Mus musculus: one gene and its partners. The protein of the gene in region 2 interacts with the protein of the main gene of each other region in a biochemical or structural test. Links are inferred from orthologs where the notes say so. Each region holds a gene or a part of one and is shown on either strand. Other genes may lie near its edges. The genes, in order: Erbb3, Zap70, Lcp2, Shc1 and Lat.

Region 1 (3,366 bases), on a different chromosome or scaffold from region 2:
ACGCCTGCGGTTCATGTATTCATAGTCCTCATCTGGAGTCGTGCCAGCAGAGGGCACGATGGCCATGGGATGGAGTGGGCAACTCTGCGTACTGCCCAGAGAAGCACTGAGGTCTGAACCCACATCCATGTACTCATAGCCCAGCTCTTCCAGGGAACCAGGTCTGGGGGGCCGAGCCGGGCTACCCCTCCTCTTCCGGTTCATGTATTCATACTCCTCATCTTCATCTTCCTCTTCGGTACCCAGCACAGAACTGAGACCTACTGACGAAAGGGTGCCTTCCCGGGAAGAGGATGTACCTATGGTTGAGAGAAACTCTTAAGTATATATAGAACTTCATAGAAATAACCAGAAGGAATGGGAGCGAGCGAGTCATCAGAGAAGATAAAAAAAATTAAGGGGAGCTTGGAGAAAAAAAGATTAGAAGATTTGAGGGTAACGCTGGAAGTGACAGGTACCTCTGAGGTGCGTATCTGGCATGACATAACCATTGCCATCCTCTTCCTCTAACCCTGGTGGGGAGAGCGGGGTGACGGGAGTAAGCAGGCTGTGTCGCTGCGAATGGTAGGCACTGTCCCCACGTGGCCGTGGGCTCCGGCTCCGGCTCCGGCTCCTACACATTGATACTCTCTCTTGGAGTTCAGCCTCAGAGCCCGTCACATGGCCCTCTGATGACTCTGACGTTTGACGCCCCCGTGGGATCGGGTGCAGAGAGATGGGACGGGAGAACTGTTCGCGACCCCCCAAAACCGCAGAATCCTACGGAGGAAAAGTCATAGGAAGCAATACAAGGATTATATGGACTGTATAAAAATACAGACTCAGAAGGAGGCACAGTTGCTCGGGGAGGGCCTTCTCTGTTGGCAGGATGCTAACTAAACCTTAAAAATTTGAAACATCTCCATTTTCCTTTTTCTTTTCTTTTCTCTCCTTTTCTTTTTTTTTTTTTTTTTTTTTTAGTATAGGATGGAGTTTATTCAGGGCATGGGGAGGGGAGTTGAGGGAGTAGAGGCAGAGAAAGGCAGAGAGAGAGAGAGAGAGAGAGAGAGAAGAGAAGAGAGGAGAAGAGGAGTGGAGTAGTAGAGGATAGAAAGAGCAGGGAGGGGAATAGAGAGAGAGAGGATAAGGAGCAAGATGCGGGGTTGGAGAGATGGCTCAACAGTTAAGAGCACTGACTGCTCTTCCAAAGGTGCTGAGTTCAAATCCCAGCAACCACATGGTGGCTCACAACCATTTGTAATAAGATCTGATGCCCTCTTCTGGTGTGTCTGAAGACAGCTACAGTAGACTTACATACAATAATAAACCTTTGGGCTGGAGCAAGCGCCAGCACATCTTACCAGACAAGCCTCCCCAAGGTTGCTCTGGTTCATGGGCATGTATCCAGACGAAGGACTTAAAAGACTCTGGCTCTAGAATGGGAAAGGAAAGGAAAGGGCTAAAATGAAGGAAGAAATCTATTCTTAGTGTGGAGGCTGATGAGTGGTGATTCTTCATGCTCACGGGGGTGGGGTGTGTGTGTGTGTGGGGGGTGTCTGCGTAGCAGAATCTTGTGCGGTTAGAAGATATCTTACCCCACGTGGCCGGGTAAGCGTTCCTGTAGGCAAGCTGAGGGCAGAACCCAGTGTGGTCGCCAGGCCCTCCTCTTCTACCTCCACGTCTAGGTCGAGGTCCAGGTCTGGCTCCAGCTCTGCATCCTGCAACTCTTTGGTGCTCAGAGCAGATGGCTCTGCTGCAGGAGGTATTCCAGGCCCACTCGCTCTCTACAGGAGTAGAAATCCATTAAGGTGGGTTCTAGTTCTCTACGTCCTTTCCCTAAATGACTCTGACATCCTCTAGCCCTTACTCACCTTGATGACCAGATACCTTGGTGGGTCCCGGGCCATCCTGGTAAACTCATTGGCCAGTTCTTTAAAGGTTGGGCGAATATTCTCGTCAATCATCCAACCTAGGGAGAGATGTAGGAGGTTGAGCCAGAAGAGAGAACAGAGCCGTGGAAGAGAAAGGAGGGAGTCAGTTAGAAAAGGCTAGGGTCAGAAGACAACTCACACTTGACCATGACCATGTAGACGTCAATGGTGCAGATCTGGGGCTGTGCTAACCGCTCTCCCTTCTCCAGCAGGTCTGGTATTTCAGCCAGTCGTAGCCCTGCGTAGGGCTCTGCCCCGAAGGTCATCAACTCCCAAACGGTTACACCTGATACAGGAAGAAATTAAGTAATAATTATGAAAAATAGATACAGGCACAAAGGGAAGGGAGGGTTGGCCTCCCTTTAATACAAGGATTGCAAGGGCATATAGTTTTTTTGGTTTTGTTTCTTGTTTTTTTTCCGAGACAGGGTTTCTCTGTGTAGTCCTGGCTGTCCTGGAACTCACTTTGTAGACCAGGCTGGCCTCGAACTCAGAAATCCGCCTGCCTCTGCCTCCCAAGTGCTGGGATTAAAGGCGTGCGCCACCACACCTGGCTGGCATATAGTTCTTAAGAGGAGACACAAAAGGGGGACCTGAGCTGGTGATGACAAAGGGGTGCTTACCGTAACTCCAGACATCACTCTGGTGTGTGTATTTCCCAAAGTGGATACTCTCAAGGGCCATCCATTTAATTGGAGTCTGAAGATTAAAGATGAAGGTGCTACCCATTAATTTTCACCTATTTTCTTAAAACTACAAGTTCTCTATCACCCATTCCCCCCTGATCCCGCGAACTTAAATTTTCTGTCATTCTCAGCTTCCTCTCCTTGAATCTCCAGGACTCATTTACTTATCTCAGCTAGAGCCCCTTGACTGCTCTGTATTCCATGCTCACGCCACCCAACCACTCCGGCCCTTGTCACCTCACCTTGGCCTCACTGTGTAGTAACTGCTTGTCATCTGGCGGCAGCAAGTCAGCCACACCAAAATCTGCCACCTGGACTTGACTCGGTGACTTAAGCATCACATTCCGGAGCGCAAGGTCCCTATGCACCATGCTGTGTTCCTCGAGGTAATACATACCCTAGAGGAGGAGGTGGTCTCAGGGTTGGGGGAGTCGGCCACTGAGCAATAGCAGCTGGCCACACCTTGAAGACAGCACTCATGACCTCAAACCCTTAATCCTCCTTCCTCAACCCCGACCTTCCCCAGCTAAGCTGTTGCTATCAAAGGCCTCCCCTGACTCCCCTCACCTTGGCAATTTGTACTCCCCAGTTGAGCAGCAGCTGTGGTCCCAGTGTCTCACGGTGCTGTCTTACATGATCAAGGAGAGAGCCCAGAGGCAAGTACTGAGTGACAAGCTGCAGAGATGACCCTGGGCACAGTCCCAGCAGCCGTACAATGTGGGCATGGTCCAGGCTGCCGACGGCCAGCATGTGCTGCAAAATATAAGAGG
Region 2 (2,821 bases):
CCCCCCCCCCCGCCCCCCTGGAACTCACTTGTAGATCCAGCAGTCACTCATAAGTGCATACATCTCAGGAGGACACTCCGGCGGACATTCCATCCTCTTACCCTGCTTGATGAAGTCCAGGACCTCGGGGCCCTTCATTTTCTGCTCAGGCCAGGGACAAAGGCATTCGTGTGTGAGGAGCCAGGGTCCACCTCCCCAGCCCACCGTTGCCAAACTGCCCAGCCTACCTTGTAGGGCTTCTGGCCATAGGAGAAGGCCTCCCACATGGTGACCCCATAGCTCCAGACGTCACTGCGGCTGGAGAACTTCCGAAAGTTGATGCACTCTGGCGCGTACCACTTCAGAGGCCACTTCCCTGCAGACCGGGCCTGAGACGGGGAGGAACTGCTAGGACCGGAGCTTGGGAACCCTCCCCCACCAGCCACCTCCACCTGGGCACCACTGGGGTGGCACTCACTGTGTAATAGCTGTCGTCAGCACCCAGGGCTTTGGACAGGCCAAAGTCGCTGATCTTGGCATAGTGCCGATTGACCAGTAGAACATTGCGGGCTGCCAGGTCGCGGTGCACAAAGTTTTTCTCCTCCAAATACTTCATGCCCATGGCCACCTGGTGCAGCAGTTCAGCCACATTGCTCACAGGGATCTCCTCCCTGGGGTGGAGGGGATGGTGGAGTCAGTCTCCCTTCCCATGGGGCATGGGTGTAGAAAACCTGGGCATCAGTGATGTGGCTGGCATGTAGACCATCCTTGTTGGCAGTGCCAGATGCTAAGAGCTTTATTACATGTTCAATGTTTACAGGAACCCTGGGCACAGTTCCTGCTATCGCCACCATAGTGCACGTGGGGAAACAGAGTCAGGAGCTCTTCTTTATAGCATGAGTGTGAGCGTCAGAGTACACATAGGGCAGGCATGTCCAGGAAGAAGTAAGGGCAGGTGGTGTGCACTGTGTCTGTCTGTCTGTGTGTGTCTCTCTGTATGTGTGTGTGTCTGTTTGTGTCTCTGTGTCTGTCTGTCTGTCTCTCTGTGTGTGTCTCTGTGTGTCTGTCCATTTCTCTCTGTCTCTGTGTATGTCTGTGTCTGTCTGTCTGTCTGTGTCTTTATTTCTCTGTGTGTGTGTGTGTGTCTGTGTCTGTCTGTGTCTATCTCTCTGTGTGTCTGTCTCTGTGTCTATGTCTCTGTGTGTCTCTGTATGTCTATCCATTTCTCTCTGTCTCTGTGTGTGTGTCTCTGTGTCTGTCTCTGTCTGTGTCTATCTGTCTGTCTGTATCTTTATTTCTGTGTGTATGTCTTTGTATGTCTTGTCTGTCTCTCTGTGTCTGTCTCTGTGTGCCTGTCTATCTGTCTCTCTGCCTCTGTGTATACCTATCTGTCTCTCTGTGTATCTGTGTGTCTCTCTGTTTCTCTTTCTCTGTGTGTCTCTGTGTGTGCGTCTGTCTGTGTCTCTGTGCGTGTGTCTGTCTGCCTCTCTGTCTGCCTCTCTCTCTCTCTCTCTCCCTCTCTCTCTCTCTCTCTCTTTGTGTGTGTTCCTCTATTTCTCCCCCCACCCCCACCCCCATCCCTACTCCCCCACCCCGTGAGTGTCCCCCAGGCTCACTTCTTTCCCAGCAGGAACTTGTGCAGGGGCCCGCCTCCCGCCATCTCCATGACCAGCATGAGTGCTTCTGCCTGGCACACGCCGATGAGCCGCACGATGTAGGGGTTGTCGAGCTGGTGCATGATCTGGGCCTCTCGCATCATCTCATCTTTGTCGGCCTTCTCTGTGCCCTGCTTCAGCACCTTGATGGCCACGTCAATCTGCTTCCTGCCCAGGTGCGAGGCCACAGACAGCTTGGGTGGGAACTGGGCCAACACAGGCCACACCCGGCTCTCTTGCTCCACCACCCCCTACCCTCCACTCCCAACCCCCACCCCACCCACCCCAACCCCCGTCAACCGTGCACCCTCTGGTTCACTGCCAAGCCATCCGTTCCCAGAGATACCTGAACTGTCTCAGTCAGAGACACCTTCCCAGGGAGTGCCTGCGTGGCCTGTCATGGCCAGTCAACAAGGGGTTCCCCTCTGCATAACTTCATAAGCCCTCCTAGTGGGGGCCAGTGTCTCCCTCTCAGGGGTCCATGGCTCCTACAACTCCTCTGCTCTGATACCCACGCTGTGGCAGAAGGCCCCGCCATACTTGCGCATGCGATAGACTCCCTGGCGCACGGAGCCAAAGTTGCCACAGCCAAGCTCGATGTCCGCCACGAGGAGATTCTCTCGCTTCAGGAAGAGCTTCTTGTCTTTGAGTTCCTCAGGGTCGCTGTAGGGACTCTCGTACACACTTGTGTCCATGGGCATCGGCCGGGGCTTGTCTGTCGATGACGCTAAGCGTGCTGGGTATACATACGGGTGTCATGCACTCCCGGGTTAGAGAGGAATGGGGGAGGGGGAAGGGCACGTAAAGGACACGGGAAGCTCAGACACACCAGACACACGGCCATAAGCCATGATGTACCCACCCTCACGTGGCATACACTAGGATATACAGGCCCATGGGCAGGCGTGATGACTAAGCATTGCTGTGCATGGGACAGACCCCTGGCAATGGCTCTGGCTTTGTCAACTCTTGCTAAGTCCCACAGGCCAGCCAGGGACCCTGTTTTCGGGTGGGCATAAGCGCATGCTCAGCTCTGCCTCTGCGGCTCACCTGGTTCAGGGGTGTATCCGTCCGAGTTCAGGGTGTCCACTCGTCTCTGAGGCTAAAGGTCACAGGGTCAACAGCAGTCAGGGAGACTCAGCCCTCTTATGAGACCCACGCCTGCTGAGGACACCCCAGGGACAGCT
Region 3 (4,060 bases), on a different chromosome or scaffold from region 2:
GTTTATGGTTTTTCTAATGTCCATAATCATCCAAAGACATTCGATTCGGAGATTCCTCTCAAATGCTCAGCTGGACTGATTCTGAGGCTCCTAAAGGACTTGGATATAACAGCATTTACAAGCCTCATGAGGTTACTGATATTTCGGTCAATTCTCTTCAGTTGATCTAAGACTGGAACACGATTTGCAATAGAAATGATACTCGTGCTTCAGCGCATTTACCATGGAGACAGGAAAGGCTTCACACACCCTCACACCTGCCTGGTCCAAAGCTCCAGCCCTTTTCCTGCCTCTCCTTTGCAATATCTGTCCCTCATTTATTCATAGCGAAGTTTACAAGGTGTAACTACTATTTTATTCCTTACTATTTCAACTGCAGAGTCACTTTGTGAGACAGACAAGAGAAAGGCCACCCCCTTTCTCTAATAAGAAATGAGGTTCAAAGAGACACAGAAGCCCTGCCAGTGACTAGAAAAAATCAAAGGACCATGAACTGGTTAGTTAGAGCAGCCCAGTGGTCATGAATTGGTACCTTTATAAGGATAAAGTTAGTTACTGTGCCCTGGCATTAGTTAAGTACTGCTTAATAAAGCTTTCTACCATCAGTTCTACACCAATCACAATCTCTCATCCTGAAATACTGAAAGTCAGCAGAGGGCCACACAAATAAACAAAGTGTCACTGCTCTCCTGCATGGAGGCCATGTCCCCCCTGGCTGAGGAAGGCACAACCCTAGATTCTCAGGAGAATTAATCTCTCAGAGACTCAGTGCCTCAGGGATGTGATGTCAGCCTCAGTGTCTGTCTTTCACTCTGTCACTATGTCTCTGTAGCAAGTTGCTGCCCTGATGGTTTGGGAATGCTCATAGCCATCCCCTCCCATCTTCCTTAGACATCCCTGGGACTGGAACAAAAGTGGAGCAACCCTAGTCCATGTTCTCTGCAACATTCAAGGACCGTTACAGTGCTCACACAAAAAGAGAAAGAGTGATGTCGTGCAGGGCCACTAAAATCATAGCATCTTCCCGACCCTTCCCTCTATTCCTGATCCTCACTCTTCTTGCAAATTACCCTTGGGGATGAGGCTGCAAGAAGCCAGCCACCCTGGGACCTCTCAGAGAGCCAGGGGCTAGGCAATTCAGCTTGATGAACTCTAAGTAACAAGATGCAGAGGCTGGCATTTAAGATACTCTTTGTAGGTCTTGCTCTCATTACCTAACTTCAGACAAGGGCAAGGCAGATGCAGTCCCACCTCCCCAGAGCCTACACTGGCTGTCCCTGTGCCAAGCATTTATTAAATGACATTTCACACTTACATTCTCTCTTCTGTCTGGTCCCCTTCCATGCCTGAAATGAATTAGAGCAGAGATGTGAGCATCAAGAGTTTCAAAGAGCCAGCCCCAGAATATAATTTCAGTAAATCGCATAAGGAGAAATAAAACCTACTGAGCCGTGGCCAAAGGGGAAGTTGCCAGTGCCAGCAGAAATGCTGGGGTTGGGAGAGAAGGGAAATGTGGCCACTGGATGCCCTGTTATCTTTGCAAGCTGAGCTAGGCAAACCTTTGTTCTATAGCGCTACTATAGCAAATAATTACACAATTATACACGTATATATGTTTAGTCAGCTTTTAGGAGCTATTAAATTTCACTGAGTAGATGTTTTTCCAAGCAAATAAAAACATTTTCAGTAATATTCTTCTTTGCTGAGGTTTCAAACCAGCCACCACAGGGCTTGCCCTTCAAGTATTAAGAAAACAGTTGGCAAAGGTCCCTGCTCCGGGCTTTGCCAATAGGGCCTTGGTGTCATTGGCACAGATGGGCCAGTCCAACAGCTTTGACAATAGCTGTCTAAGCGTTGGGAGAGGCATCTGTACTTCCTGGGAGAGAGGTAAAGAGGGGAGGGAGAGAAGGAGGGAAGGAGGGGAGTGATAGGAGGAAGAGATGGAGGGAGGGAGGGAAGGAGGGAGGGAGGGAGGGATAGGGAGGGATAGGGAAAAAAGAAAGGAGAGAGGGAGGGAGGCAAGGATGGGTGGGTGGATAGAGGGAGGGAGAGAAGAAGGGAGGAAGGGAGGGAGGAAAGGAGAGGGATGGAGGGAGGCAAGGATGGATGGGTGGATAGAGGGAGGGAGAGAAGAAGGGGGAGGGAAGGAGGGAGGGAGGGAGGAAGAATGATTTGTTGAGTAGCTAATGTCAGATGTTTCTTATGTCGTCCATCAGTTCTTGCCCTGTTTTATTGAAAATTTTGGTATTTTGGCCATTAAATTGTTTTTTATGTGCTCTGATTTTGTTAAATAATCCATTAAAATGCTATGAAAGTCAAAGACTGGGGATTTTCTTGGCACACTGTGGCCCTTAGTCTTGACTGAATCCTCACAACAGCCAAACCAGGGCGATGGTTATGAACCTTTATAGACAGAGGAGATAATGAAACTCACTGCTCCCCTCCAAGTAGCAGGGCTGGCCCAGAACCCAAGTGCACTTGTGCCGTTTGGTAAATAGACCATACATGATTTTATAGCACAGGTAAAGCTGCTAGAACTGAGCTCCGTCTCCTGTCGTTGTAAAAATGGTTGAGCAGTAAGAAAGCAGCTAATGCAGGCCTAGAACCAGCGCACCCCCACCCCCACCCCACACCCCTGCTCCCTTACAAAATAAAGCTGCAGGTGCAGTTCCTATGAGCTGTTCAGGCTTCAGTCTGACAAGGCAGGAAGTCCAACAAAACCAAGTCTGGTTCAGACAAGGACTCCGACAGCAACCACACAGCCCTCCCCATTAAGTGCTGCTACTCGCCCCCTCCTCAGCTACATTCCCATTCTCTTGACAGACCTCAGTAGCTTTCATCCAACCAGCAAGGAAAGGAGCCCTCAACCTCTCAAGTATTGGAGTTCAAAGGCCCGACTCAGGCAGCACAGGACAGTCACCTTGGAACTGGTGGCTTCCTCGTTGTCACGGGTCCGAGTCTTTCATTTCTTTCGTGTCTGTCCATGGCTGGTGGCAAAGGAGGCTTTTGTATCTTGGGTAAATGTTCCCTGAGTGGGAAGAGAGAGGAGATATATATATATAAAAGCCACTTTCATTGGGCAGAGATCTGCAGCAGAATTCTGGACTTGGTACAGTATGACAGACACTTACCTCCCCAATGGGGCTGAGGGCTGCAAGACAACAAGGAAGACACGTGAGGATCAGACACTTTCCAAAGAGTCAGGACAAGATAAAAGCAAAACAAACAAAGACTAAAATCATAAACAAACCAGAAAAGCAGCCTACCTTATCAGAAAATGGTGGTTTCTTTCCTGTAAACAAGGTTGAACAGAACATTAAATTTGGAACAGGCATGAGGTTAGGGCTGAAAAACAGATTCTGATGAAAACCGTGTCTGTGTCTCTAGGGGAAGTCTGACTTTAAGCAGGGGCTTCAGATCTGAAAGGTCTTTTGAGGAACACCTGGCTTGCCAAACTCACACAGCTGTGCACATGCTAATAGGATTGTGGGATCTGAGCTTCTTTTCAACATGCGGCTTGGCTGAGCATCAAATGGGTGAATATCTTCTTGAGATTCTATGTCTTTCTCATTGGCTTAAGCATCTGCTGTCTGGCCTAGTTTGAATTTTGAAGTAAACCAGTGTGTAATGAAGGTGAAATTTTGCCCTAAATCCTGTGGTACACTTGATATTATGTAAAGACTTCCATACAAGGGCTTTTGGAGATTGTCTTGGTGTGCCAAAACTACTTTAGTGGTGGTGGAAGTGGTTGTGGTGGTAGTCAAGGTGGTAGTGGTCATGGTTGTGGTTGTGGTACTGGTCATCTTGGTGGTGGTGGTCATGGCTGTGGTTGTAGTCACCAAGGTGTTAATGGTGTTAGTGGTGGAGGTGGTGGTGGTGATGATGGTGGTAGTGGTGGTGGTGGTTGTGTTCATGGTTATGGTACTGGTCATTGTGGTGGTGGTGGTGGTCATGGTCATGATTGTGGTCCTCATGGTGGCTATGGTGGTGGCAATGAATTTTGTTTGCTCACTTGCTTTGATATCTTTGAGAACAGATGGTATTGAAGCCAAGTATTTAT
Region 4 (4,661 bases), on a different chromosome or scaffold from region 2:
ACTTAAAGGCTCGTGTTGACTTTTTCTTCCAAATGCGGGCACCTCTTGCTCATCCCTGGCCTTCCGATATGAAAGCTCCCAGGAAGAGCCATCTCTCAAGATGACACCATGGTGTGTTTGTGTGATTGGGAGTGTAAGAGCTGAGGTCTTAGCAAACAGAATGACAGAATTTCTTTTCAGGAAGAGATGTGGTATTCAGTAACAGCTTTCCTGGGATGGGGACTAAGCACAGGGGAGAGAATGAAGGGTGGTATTTAAACTGCTTTAAGTGCTGCTGAAGAGGTCTGAAGGTAGACACTTTGAGCAACCTCCGCAGCCACAGCAGCGGTTAGGCAAGTGGAGGCAAACCCCGGTGATTGGTTCTCTGTAAGTTCCAGGCCATCCTGGTCAGCCTGGTCTACAAAGCAAGTTCCAGGGCAGTCAGTGTTGTTACATAGACAAACCCTATCTTGAAAAAACAAATAAGCAAAAAGTATCTTTTATTTCTTGTATTTGGTTTTTTTTTTTTTTTTTTTTTGGTTTTCGAGACAGGGTTTCTCTGTATAGCCCTGGCTGTCCTGGAACTCACTTTGTAGACCAGGCTGGCCTCGAACTCAGAAATCCACCTGCCTCTGCTGGGATTAAAAGGGTGCACCACCACACCCAGCTACTTTTTTTTTTTTTTTTTTAAGGGAATAAAGCGATAGTTTATTCTGGAGCTATTTTGATTGGTCACTTTCTTTAAGTTCCTGAATGGCCTTAAGCAGAGCTGTGGCAGGAAACTGTGGGCAAAGAAATATGGGTTTGGTATTATTATGCACTTATGGCCAGACTCCAACTTCTAATATCCCTTTCTCCTTCCTGTCTTTATTAACACAGATTTGTTTATGACCCTATTATCCCTTTGTGGCTTGTAGGCACCAGTTCTGTTTCTTTCCCCTACCTCCAAGGCCAACTCCTCCACTAGCCTGAGGTACACTGTCAGGTGGTTTACTGCCTGTAAGGAGTAACAATATATCTGTAGGTCCGAGGGGTGGCTGCATGTCTCTGTACCCTCTGGGGAAGCCCTACTCCCACCCCCCAAGTCTGTTGGTCCTTGGTGACTTGTAGAAACAGGCTTGCTCTAGCTCTTGTCTGGTAGCCCCCTGATGTACCACCAATAAATTGGCCTTTATTCCCATTTTAGCTTGTCTTTCCTCTTGGCTTTGCACTATATCCACTGGGACTTACTTTCTCTCCCTGGTTCTCTACTGTGGTCCACAGCTGTTGTGGTGGAGGATGCTAATGGCCCAGGTTCCCTGGAGCTACCACCTCACTCACTGTATGGTGGGGATGGGAGTGGTCTGGGCTGTCTGGGCTAGGGGGCTAGTCACGTCTTCAGCCAGGACTGGAAAGGAAATGCTAAACTCTGGGGGACATCTCCCCCCTTCCCCTCCCCGCCCAGCAGCTTCTGTTTCCTCTCTATCCCTTCCTGTCTTCCTGCTCTCTTTGGCTTGCCCACGTCGGTTTGGATTGGTCCAGAGTTTCTCTTAACTCCTTCCTTTCTTTTTTCTCTTTTGCTTATTTTTCCATCTTTTTTTCGCGCCGGGCACCTCCTCCTTCCCAGACAGTTGTTTGTATTGGGCTGGGAGAGTGGCCTGGCTTGCACAAATTGTGTGGGGAGGTGTCTCAGCCCCTCTGAGCCTGTGAGTCAGCACTGTCCTGGGGATTGGTCTCTCTCCTTAGTTCCCCGCCTCTGGGGAGGAGCCAGTAAGCTCTGGGTCCAGCCTGTACTCCTCAGCCAGTAGAGGTTTCCTAGCTGGGCTGTGCAAGGATGTGCTCTCAAACTGTCTAGGTCTGAGTTGGGAGAGCAGAGGTCACTTGTCCTTCGCCTCCCCAGGTCATCTGTTATCACCGGGCTGCCGAGGTCAGACTAGGCTAAGGGCCTGGGGATGCCCCCTGCCTGGCCCCCTTGCCTGAATTGGCAGGGGGGCCGGGCTGGGCAGCAGCCCCTCTTCTCACCCCAGCCATGGATCTTCTACCCCCCAAGCCGAAGTACAACCCACTTCGGAATGAGTCTCTGTCATCGCTGGAGGAGGGGGCTTCGGGGTCTACCCCTCCGGAGGAGCTACCTTCCCCATCAGCTTCATCCCTGGGACCCATTCTGCCTCCTCTGCCGGGGGACGATAGTCCGACTACCCTGTGTTCCTTCTTTCCCCGGATGAGCAACCTGAAGCTGGCCAATCCTGCTGGGGGGCGCCTGGGGCCTAAAGGGGAGCCAGGAAAGGCTGCTGAAGATGGGGAAGGGAGTGCAGGGGCAGCCCTTCGGGACTCAGGCCTCTTGCCCCTCCTCCAGGACATGAACAAGCTGAGTGGAGGCGGCGGGCGCAGGACTCGGGTAGAAGGGGGCCAGCTGGGGGGCGAGGAGTGGACCAGACACGGGAGCTTTGTCAATAAGCCCACACGAGGCTGGCTGCATCCCAACGACAAAGTCATGGGACCTGGGGTTTCCTACTTGGTTCGGGTGAGTGCATACCCCCCTCCCACTCCCTCCCGTCCAGTTCCTCTGCTCACTCCAGATTTGCCAGGGACTCCCTGCTCTTCCCCCAGCAACATCTGTGCCATTCTCTCAGTTCTTAGACCTGGTGCATTCCTTCTTCAGGTCTCTGCCCTTAATTTAGCCTGTGAATCTTCTGCCTTTCCTCCTTTGGTCCCAACCCCCCCCCCCACCCCCCCAGTTCACACAGTGCCCAAGCACATCTGAGGCTTTCTGTAAAAGTTGAATGAAAATGACTTCTTGATTATTCCCTCTAGACTCCTCCCTTTTCCAGAGATGTCACTCCATCCCACTCAATGTTTGCTACTCCTCTCGCAGTCCCCCCATGGTGCACGAAGTTCCTCTTTTGTGGTCTTTCTTCCCTTTTTCCCCTTTGCCATACACCTATGAAGTGGAAGCCCCAGGCAGTAGGAAGGCTACTTCAATCTACTTTCCTTAGGAAGTAAGGACTATATAAGGCAAAGCCCTAGAACCTTCTGCAAAGGGCTTGCAAGTGTGGGGTGGGGGATGGGGTCAGCTGATCCATTCTTCCCTCCTTCCCCTACAGTACATGGGCTGTGTGGAGGTCTTACAGTCAATGCGAGCCCTTGACTTCAATACCCGGACTCAGGTCACCAGGTTAGTGGGAAGGCGGGTATATTGCTGTAGTCTTAAGATTACTGAAGTTACAGAAGTCTCAGTAAGGGGGAGGAGGAAGTTGGGCATTTGATGGTGTTTCTGATGGTGACTTCTCATGGGCGGTGAGAGAATTGAAAGTCACAGAAGTAAGTCTGACTAAAAAGAGCCAGCTCTGGTCTGGAGCACACCTTCCCTTTCTATCCAGCCTTGGAGATTGCGGGAAGATGAGCTAGAAAAGGCAGGGGTAGGAGGTTGCTGATGCTTTGGGGAAGGGAATGGAACATTCGGTGGCTGGGAAGAGGTGGGGCTATAGCCATTGAAGCCCTAACCCAATCAGCCAGGAAGCGGCCCCTCGGTGTCATCAAATATTAAAGGCCCTTAATTCAATCCACCACGACAAAGAGCCTGGAGTGCTCTGGGAGTCTGGCCTGGTCTTCCCTTCCCCCAGCTCTGTGGCGGCCCCAGCCAGGGGGGCAGCCCATGGTGGGTCTGAGTACTCCTGTTTCTCCAGGGAGGCCATCAGTTTGGTGTGTGAAGCTGTGCCTGGTGCCAAAGGGGCGACAAGGAGGAGAAAGGTATATGTGGTGGTTGGGGCTGGGTATTGGAGGCAGGGGGAAGGCACTTCAGGACATAGCGGATGGGACAGGTGTTTCCTCAGGCTGGGAAAGCTCAGATTCTGAGACTCTGGGCCCTTTCTTAGCCTTGTAGCCGCCCACTCAGCTCCATCCTGGGGAGGAGTAACCTGAAGTTTGCTGGAATGCCAATCACTCTCACTGTGTCTACCAGCAGCCTTAACCTCATGGCAGCCGACTGCAAACAGGTAGGTAGGGCTGCTGAAAGGGACCAGAGATAGTTATGGGAGCATCAAATGGGAATCAGAGACCAAAAGCTCGGAGCTCTCAGGAACAACTGGACAGTAGAGGAGGAAGAAATTAGAAAGGTTAAGGATAGTGACACCCTTATCCCAGCACTCAGGAGGCCGAGGCAGGTGAATGCCTTTGAGTTCCAGTCAGGGCTACACAGTGAGACCTTGCACCTCACCCCACCAAAAGAAGAAAGAAATCAGGAGAACACTGGGTAAAAGACCAAGAGAATGAGCCTGGGGCTCCAAGGTTCTGCACTGGGGTGGGCCACAAGCCCTGAGGCTGCCTGACATTTACCATCCCCTCCTTCTCCATCCCCACCCTCATCAGATCATTGCCAACCATCACATGCAATCTATCTCTTTCGCGTCCGGTGGGGATCCGGTGAGTTGGGGACCAGAGGAAAGACTGGGGTGGGGAAGAAGAGACATGGGGCTAGAAAGATGCTTGCTAGAGGCTGAGTGTGGTGGCACACACTGATCCCAGCACTCACGGGACAGGTGACTCTCTTGAGTTCCAGGACAGCCAGGGCCATGCAGAGAAATCCTTGAAAAACCAAAAGAGGGAGGGAGAGAGAAGATACTGGCTAAAGAAGTAGGGTGCAAGGGTTGTGAAATGTCTGAAAGGGACAGAGTCTTAGTGGATCAGGAGTTGTAAACTCTAGC
Region 5 (4,740 bases), on a different chromosome or scaffold from region 2:
TTCCGAAATCCAAAACCTTTTCATACTGGTGCGATACCACAAATGGAAAATTTCATGAAACTTCTATTTCATACAAAAGATTAATTAAAATTTGCATAGAACTACCTTAAAGACCGAGCATGGTAACCTACACGTTTAATTTGAGTTTGAGTCTACCTGGTCTAGATATCAAGTTCCAGGACAGCCAGGACTATACAATGACGCTCTATGCCAATAAAACTAAGACAAAACAAAAACCTATCTTCAGACTGTGTATATATTACATATATGGTTTGTATAAAACATGAATAAATTAATTACATGTTTTATCTTGAGTTTCATCCCCAAGAGAATTTATTATATGTTTATAAATATTCCCAAATCTGTATTGAAGTGTTTCAGGTAAGGGATACTCATGCTATACAGAGATAAGAGGATAGAAAACTGAAGATCACCAGAACTTGAGAAAAGCTCAAGGAAGGAGAAAGACCAAAGCAGAGAAAAGCAGCCCAAGAGAAACAACGACCATGTGGTACGCAGAATAAATCTTCAGTGAGTGTGTGTGAGAGAGACAGGCAGAGATACAGAGAGACGGGCAGAGATACAGAGAGACGGGCAGAGATACAGAGAGACGGGCAGAGATAGATACAGAGAGACGGGCAGAGATACAGAGAGACGGGCAGAGATACAGAGAGACGGGCAGAGATACAGAGAGACGGGCAGAGATACAGAGAGACGGGCAGAGATACAGAGAGACGGGCAGAACCAGAGAGGGATAGAGACACAGAGAGAAACAATCTGTAATCAAAATTTGTTTTGTTTTGTTTTTTCGAGACAGGGTTTCTCTGTGTAGTCCTGGCTGTCCTGGAACTCACTCTGTAGACCAGGCTGGCCTTGAACTCAGAAATCCGCCTGCCTCTGCCTCCCGAGTGCTGGAATTAAAGGCGTGCGCCACCACCACCCGGCTATGTAATCAAAGTTCTTATAGATACATTAGATGATATTGCTTCCAAGAAACAACAGTGTACTATACAAAAAGAACCGAGACGCCAAAAAAGGGGAGGGGGACTTTCAGATAAGAGAAATAAATTCTTTTGTTTTCTTTTTGTTGATCGTCGTGCTGTTTTGGTTTTCGAAGAGAGGGTATCACTATGTAGCCCAGGCTAGCCTCAAATTCAACCCTCCTGCCACTGCCTCCTGATGCTGGGATCGTAGGCCCTCACACCCAGCCGAGAAATGAAATTTCAATGGCAGGGTTCAAAAAGAGTCAGGAAATTTCTTAGACAACAGAGACGAAGGAGCAAAGGTGGAAGGAAAAACAAGACAGTCGGAAGTGATGAGGAGCAGGAAGCCCAACGTCTACAGGAGGAAATGGAAGGGCGGCAATCGTCACGGAGGTGAGAGGGAGGCAAGAGTGGAGAGCTGGCAGCACATGGCAGAGGGAGGTAGACAGAAAGCCTGACTCACCAGAGAAGGCACTGTCTCCAAGGTCAGGGTTGCTAGGCACAGGAGCAGAGGAGACAACAGGGACGGCAGCAGGACTACTGTCAGGCAGCACCACTCTGGAAGAAAGGAAGGAACGAGAAGTTGATAAAGGGCACACAACTTCCACGGTCACCTCCCCTCTACCCACTCACAGGTAGCCGTTGGGATAGTCGTCTTCATCCTCATCTGCATCCACATTCTTACAGGCTGGCTCTGTGAGAAAGGAGAGTTAACACGACCTGGACAGGTCCAGCCTCCCCACCCCACCCACTACCCCAGACCCCAGACCCACCCTGGTTCTCGTAGCTTGCCACACTGTTGGCTTCAAAGAGAGAGGGAGAAGAAGACTGGATCAGCTCAGGTTGTACATCCTCCCCAAAGCCCTCCTGTGCCCTACACCCTTACCATCATCTGAATTCTGCTGGGAAGATGGCATCCGATGGGAACCCCCAAGGGGCTGTGGGGATCTCCTGGAAGCCAAAGGTCAGAGATTACGTCTAGGTAGGACTCTGGGAGCAAGACAACCAGGAAAAAGCGCCTCCCCAACCTAGAAGGTGGAGAGGCACAGTAGACCCAAGGGACGGAGTTGGGGGATACTCACGGGATGGGGAGCAGGTCTGGCTGCCTCAGGGGTGGGAAGGAAGTGACTAGAGGGTAGGAAACAGCAGGTGTTCGGGGGACGGTTATTTCTGAGGACACAGAATGAAGCTTGAGGGATGGCTCCAGACACCCCCCATCAAGGCCTCGAAGGACAAATGGACCCCAAAATAACATGCCCTAGACAGACATGGGGGCTCCCACTTTCCCCATCCCAAGCCAGGGAACAGCCCTTCAGACAGCTAAAGGTGAACAAGGACAAACGCACACTCTTAAAAACCCTCGAGGAGGGCCAGAGACACTGAACTCACGAGGTGGCTTGATGAGGATGCTTCTTGGGTACAAACTGGCAGGAAAGAGACAGCTTGGGTACAGGGCCAAGAGGGCCCCAGCCCCAAACCCTTGAGTGGAACCAAGGGAAGACACACAGGGACACGGGCTTCCCACTCACCTCTCTGTGGAAGTGCTGTCATAGGAGACTGGAGGAAAGAAATCCAACAAGTCAGGATCGGGGTGCACCAGGGACAAAGAAACTCAGGCCCCCCACCATCAATCAGGGCCCAGGTAGGGACAGTGGAGAGTGCAGGGGCTGGGGAGGGTATGAGGATCCAATGGAGCGCCCACCCATCATCCAGTTCCGCAAAGCTTCCCACTTACCTGGCAACTCACGGCAGCGCACGCACAGGGCAGCCAGGAGCGTGACCAAGAAGGGCAGCAGCAGGAGGCCCAGCCCCACCGGGCTCAAGGCGTCTGCTTCCATCTGCAGAGCACCTGCCACAGGCCCTGCTGCACTGCAGCCCCTCGAGACAGAGTGGCAGCAGGGGTATGGGACCAAGCGGGCTCCAGCCTGGGATCCGCCCGGCAGTAGGCAGCCGTATCCTTTCGGGGCTGGATGGCTCCCCTCTCTTGCTGGACTGAGTTGAGAGCAGTGTTGGCTCTGGAAAGGTGCTCGCCCCAGAGCCAGAGCTGGGGCCCGTGCCCCAGCTACCAGCTGCACGATCCCCGTGCCCAGCTGTACCTGCCCCTTTCTTGCTCCCCGCCTGCCTCTCCTGCTCACCACCGCGTGCGACAGGAAGCTGTGGTGAGGGCAGGAAATCATCAGGCTGCTCAGCAGGCTGAGCCTGCCCCCTGCCCACTCACCCCCACCCAGTTGTGGGAAGGGGGAGGAGGCAGAGGGACTGTGTGGAGGAAGGGTCTAAGGCTGCAGGATGAGGCAGCCCGTCCACTAGGAAAGGAGACACGTGCCAACCAGGCCCGCGGTACCCTCCCCATGCCCGGGTGGGAGAACTGCAAGGAGGCTCTGCCAAGGCCTGTGTGGACCGAGGGCACTGAGGGCACCACAGGCCCCCAGCTCCCAGGCTTAACTACTGGGAGAGCGACTTCCAGGGGACCACGGTGAGTCACAGTCATACTGAACCAGCTCACTCAGAAAAGAGCAGCCCTCCTTCTAGATTACCAAGCTCAGAAGACAGGGACTTACCCACAGGGTGACCTGACAGCCCCTGCTAAGTCCTGGGACTATGGATATTCCCTGAGGCCAGTGGCACCCACAGAGAGACAAGCAGTCAGTCAGGAGTCTGATTACAAATTTTATTCCATTACAAATAGCACCAAACCCCTTGGGCTGTCCTAGTAGAGAGGACACCCCTTCCCCGTTTCTGGACTCCCATCTCTTCCCTGGGCTGCCCATGTAGTGTCTGGGAGCTGGGAGATATCCCAGGGCTTCCTTCTTGGACCTGGGCCTGGTGAGGGCTTCTGCCTGGGAACCGTCTTGGGTGGGCCCAAGGCCCAGCTGCGATGCATCAGTGGCCGGGTAAGCACCGGCTCCTCAGATGAGCACGCTGGACACGGGGACTCGGGTAGAACGGCCTCGCTGAGGTACTACAATCCGGTCATCTGAGGGCCCAGACTCATGCAACAGACCTGCGAGAAAGGGGTCAGAGCCAAGGCCAGTAAGATAAGAGCCAGCAAGGGGACACAGGCAGCAAGGGGACACAGGCAGAGGGGCCCAGATGAGGCAGCATGGAGAGCCCTCAGAACTGCACACAGACAGAGCCCAATCCACTTCCAGACAGACCCAAAGCTAAGCTGGATGAGCCTGGGATGCTGGGACTCTTGCCCCCAGCTGGTGGCATGAATGGATGGGCTAGTCTGAGTGGAGGGAGAACTGTAGAGTACATACGCGGAGACAGACAGACAGGCAGGTGGTACTGTGAAGGTGGACCTACAGTGACCCTCACTCACCCTGCACGTGGAGTTGAGCCCGCCGGCGGTCATCTTCAATGAACATGGCGGTGCCCAGGAAGGCCGCACCACCCAGTGCCCCAACGAAAGCACAGAGCATGAGCGAGAACTGCAGAGCCCGGAACTCGGACAGGAAGGAAGGGGGCCAGCTCCGTCGGAGGCGGTCAGAGATCTGCAGGGAGAAAAGAGTCAGAGACCTGGGGGGTGCAGAGCACTGACCAAGAAAACAGAGGCTGGGAAGGGGAATATTTGGGTCATAGGGTGAGACCCACAGCCTAACGGGCAAAACCTTCCTATGGCTTCCTTCCTATACACCAGAGGACCAAAGGGGAGATGCGCCATAGGCATCTATTGCCTAATCTTGGCCAGACTCATGCCACCAGTCAGGGTAGGGAGTTCCAGGTCCCCAAAACCATTCCATCCCAGCCAAGGATA

The links.
Region 1: the proteins of Zap70 (region 2) and Erbb3 form a complex in vitro, tested with the Homo sapiens proteins (2 studies listed by BioGRID and IntAct, with this or other methods). The link is inferred for Mus musculus from reciprocal best matches to the Homo sapiens genes ZAP70 and ERBB3.
Region 3: of the proteins of Zap70 (region 2) and Lcp2, one has a biochemical effect on the other in vitro, tested with the Homo sapiens proteins (2 studies listed by BioGRID). The link is inferred for Mus musculus from reciprocal best matches to the Homo sapiens genes ZAP70 and LCP2.
Region 4: of the proteins of Zap70 (region 2) and Shc1, one has a biochemical effect on the other in vitro, tested with the Homo sapiens proteins (2 studies listed by BioGRID, with this or other methods). The link is inferred for Mus musculus from reciprocal best matches to the Homo sapiens genes ZAP70 and SHC1.
Region 5: of the proteins of Zap70 (region 2) and Lat, one has a biochemical effect on the other in vitro, tested with the Homo sapiens proteins (2 studies listed by BioGRID). The link is inferred for Mus musculus from reciprocal best matches to the Homo sapiens genes ZAP70 and LAT.

What each region holds. Positions count from the first base shown.
Region 1 is NC_000076.6:128,569,596-128,572,961, forward strand, and holds part of Erbb3 (receptor tyrosine-protein kinase erbB-3 precursor), read right to left. Parts: intron 3,350-3,366; coding exon 3,164-3,349; intron 2,995-3,163; coding exon 2,839-2,994; intron 2,610-2,838; coding exon 2,534-2,609; intron 2,197-2,533; coding exon 2,050-2,196; intron 1,949-2,049; coding exon 1,851-1,948; intron 1,764-1,850; coding exon 1,575-1,763; intron 1,413-1,574; coding exon 1,341-1,412; intron 760-1,340; coding exon 459-759; intron 300-458; coding exon 1-299. UniProt on the Homo sapiens protein: Tyrosine-protein kinase that plays an essential role as cell surface receptor for neuregulins.
Region 2 is NC_000067.6:36,778,666-36,781,486, reverse strand, and holds part of Zap70 (tyrosine-protein kinase ZAP-70), read right to left. Parts: intron 2,737-2,821; coding exon 2,685-2,736; intron 2,504-2,684; exon of another isoform or gene 2,371-2,503; coding exon 2,175-2,370; intron 1,803-2,174; coding exon 1,596-1,802; intron 651-1,595; coding exon 458-650; intron 369-457; coding exon 228-368; intron 142-227; coding exon 29-141; intron 1-28. UniProt on the Homo sapiens protein: Tyrosine kinase that plays an essential role in regulation of the adaptive immune response. Regulates motility, adhesion and cytokine expression of mature T-cells, as well as thymocyte development.
Region 3 is NC_000077.6:34,077,476-34,081,535, reverse strand, and holds part of Lcp2 (lymphocyte cytosolic protein 2), read right to left. Parts: intron 3,293-4,060; coding exon 3,267-3,292; intron 3,152-3,266; coding exon 3,132-3,151; intron 3,029-3,131; coding exon 2,921-3,028; intron 1,347-2,920; coding exon 1,316-1,346; intron 1-1,315. UniProt on the Homo sapiens protein: Adapter protein primarily involved in signaling pathways within T-cells, as well as other immune cells such as platelets, mast cells, and natural killer (NK) cells.
Region 4 is NC_000069.6:89,419,864-89,424,524, forward strand, and holds the start of Shc1 (SHC-transforming protein 1), read left to right. Parts: upstream 1-1,757; 5' UTR 1,758-1,987; coding exon 1,988-2,482; intron 2,483-2,865; exon of another isoform or gene 2,866-2,957; intron 2,958-3,062; coding exon 3,063-3,133; intron 3,134-3,644; coding exon 3,645-3,708; intron 3,709-3,833; coding exon 3,834-3,953; intron 3,954-4,326; coding exon 4,327-4,380; intron 4,381-4,661. UniProt on the Homo sapiens protein: Signaling adapter that couples activated growth factor receptors to signaling pathways. Participates in a signaling cascade initiated by activated KIT and KITLG/SCF.
Region 5 is NC_000073.6:126,366,430-126,371,169, forward strand, and holds the start of Lat (linker for activation of T-cells family member 1 precursor), read right to left. Parts: upstream 2,822-4,740; coding exon 2,719-2,821; intron 2,541-2,718; coding exon 2,513-2,540; intron 2,408-2,512; coding exon 2,373-2,407; intron 2,154-2,372; coding exon 2,066-2,153; intron 1,935-2,065; coding exon 1,870-1,934; intron 1,787-1,869; coding exon 1,757-1,786; intron 1,678-1,756; coding exon 1,617-1,677; exon of another isoform or gene 1,542-1,616; coding exon 1,447-1,541; intron 1-1,446. Other genes in the region: Spns1 (protein spinster homolog 1), read right to left, coding at 3,890-3,984, 4,306-4,477. UniProt on the Homo sapiens protein: Required for TCR (T-cell antigen receptor)- and pre-TCR-mediated signaling, both in mature T-cells and during their development.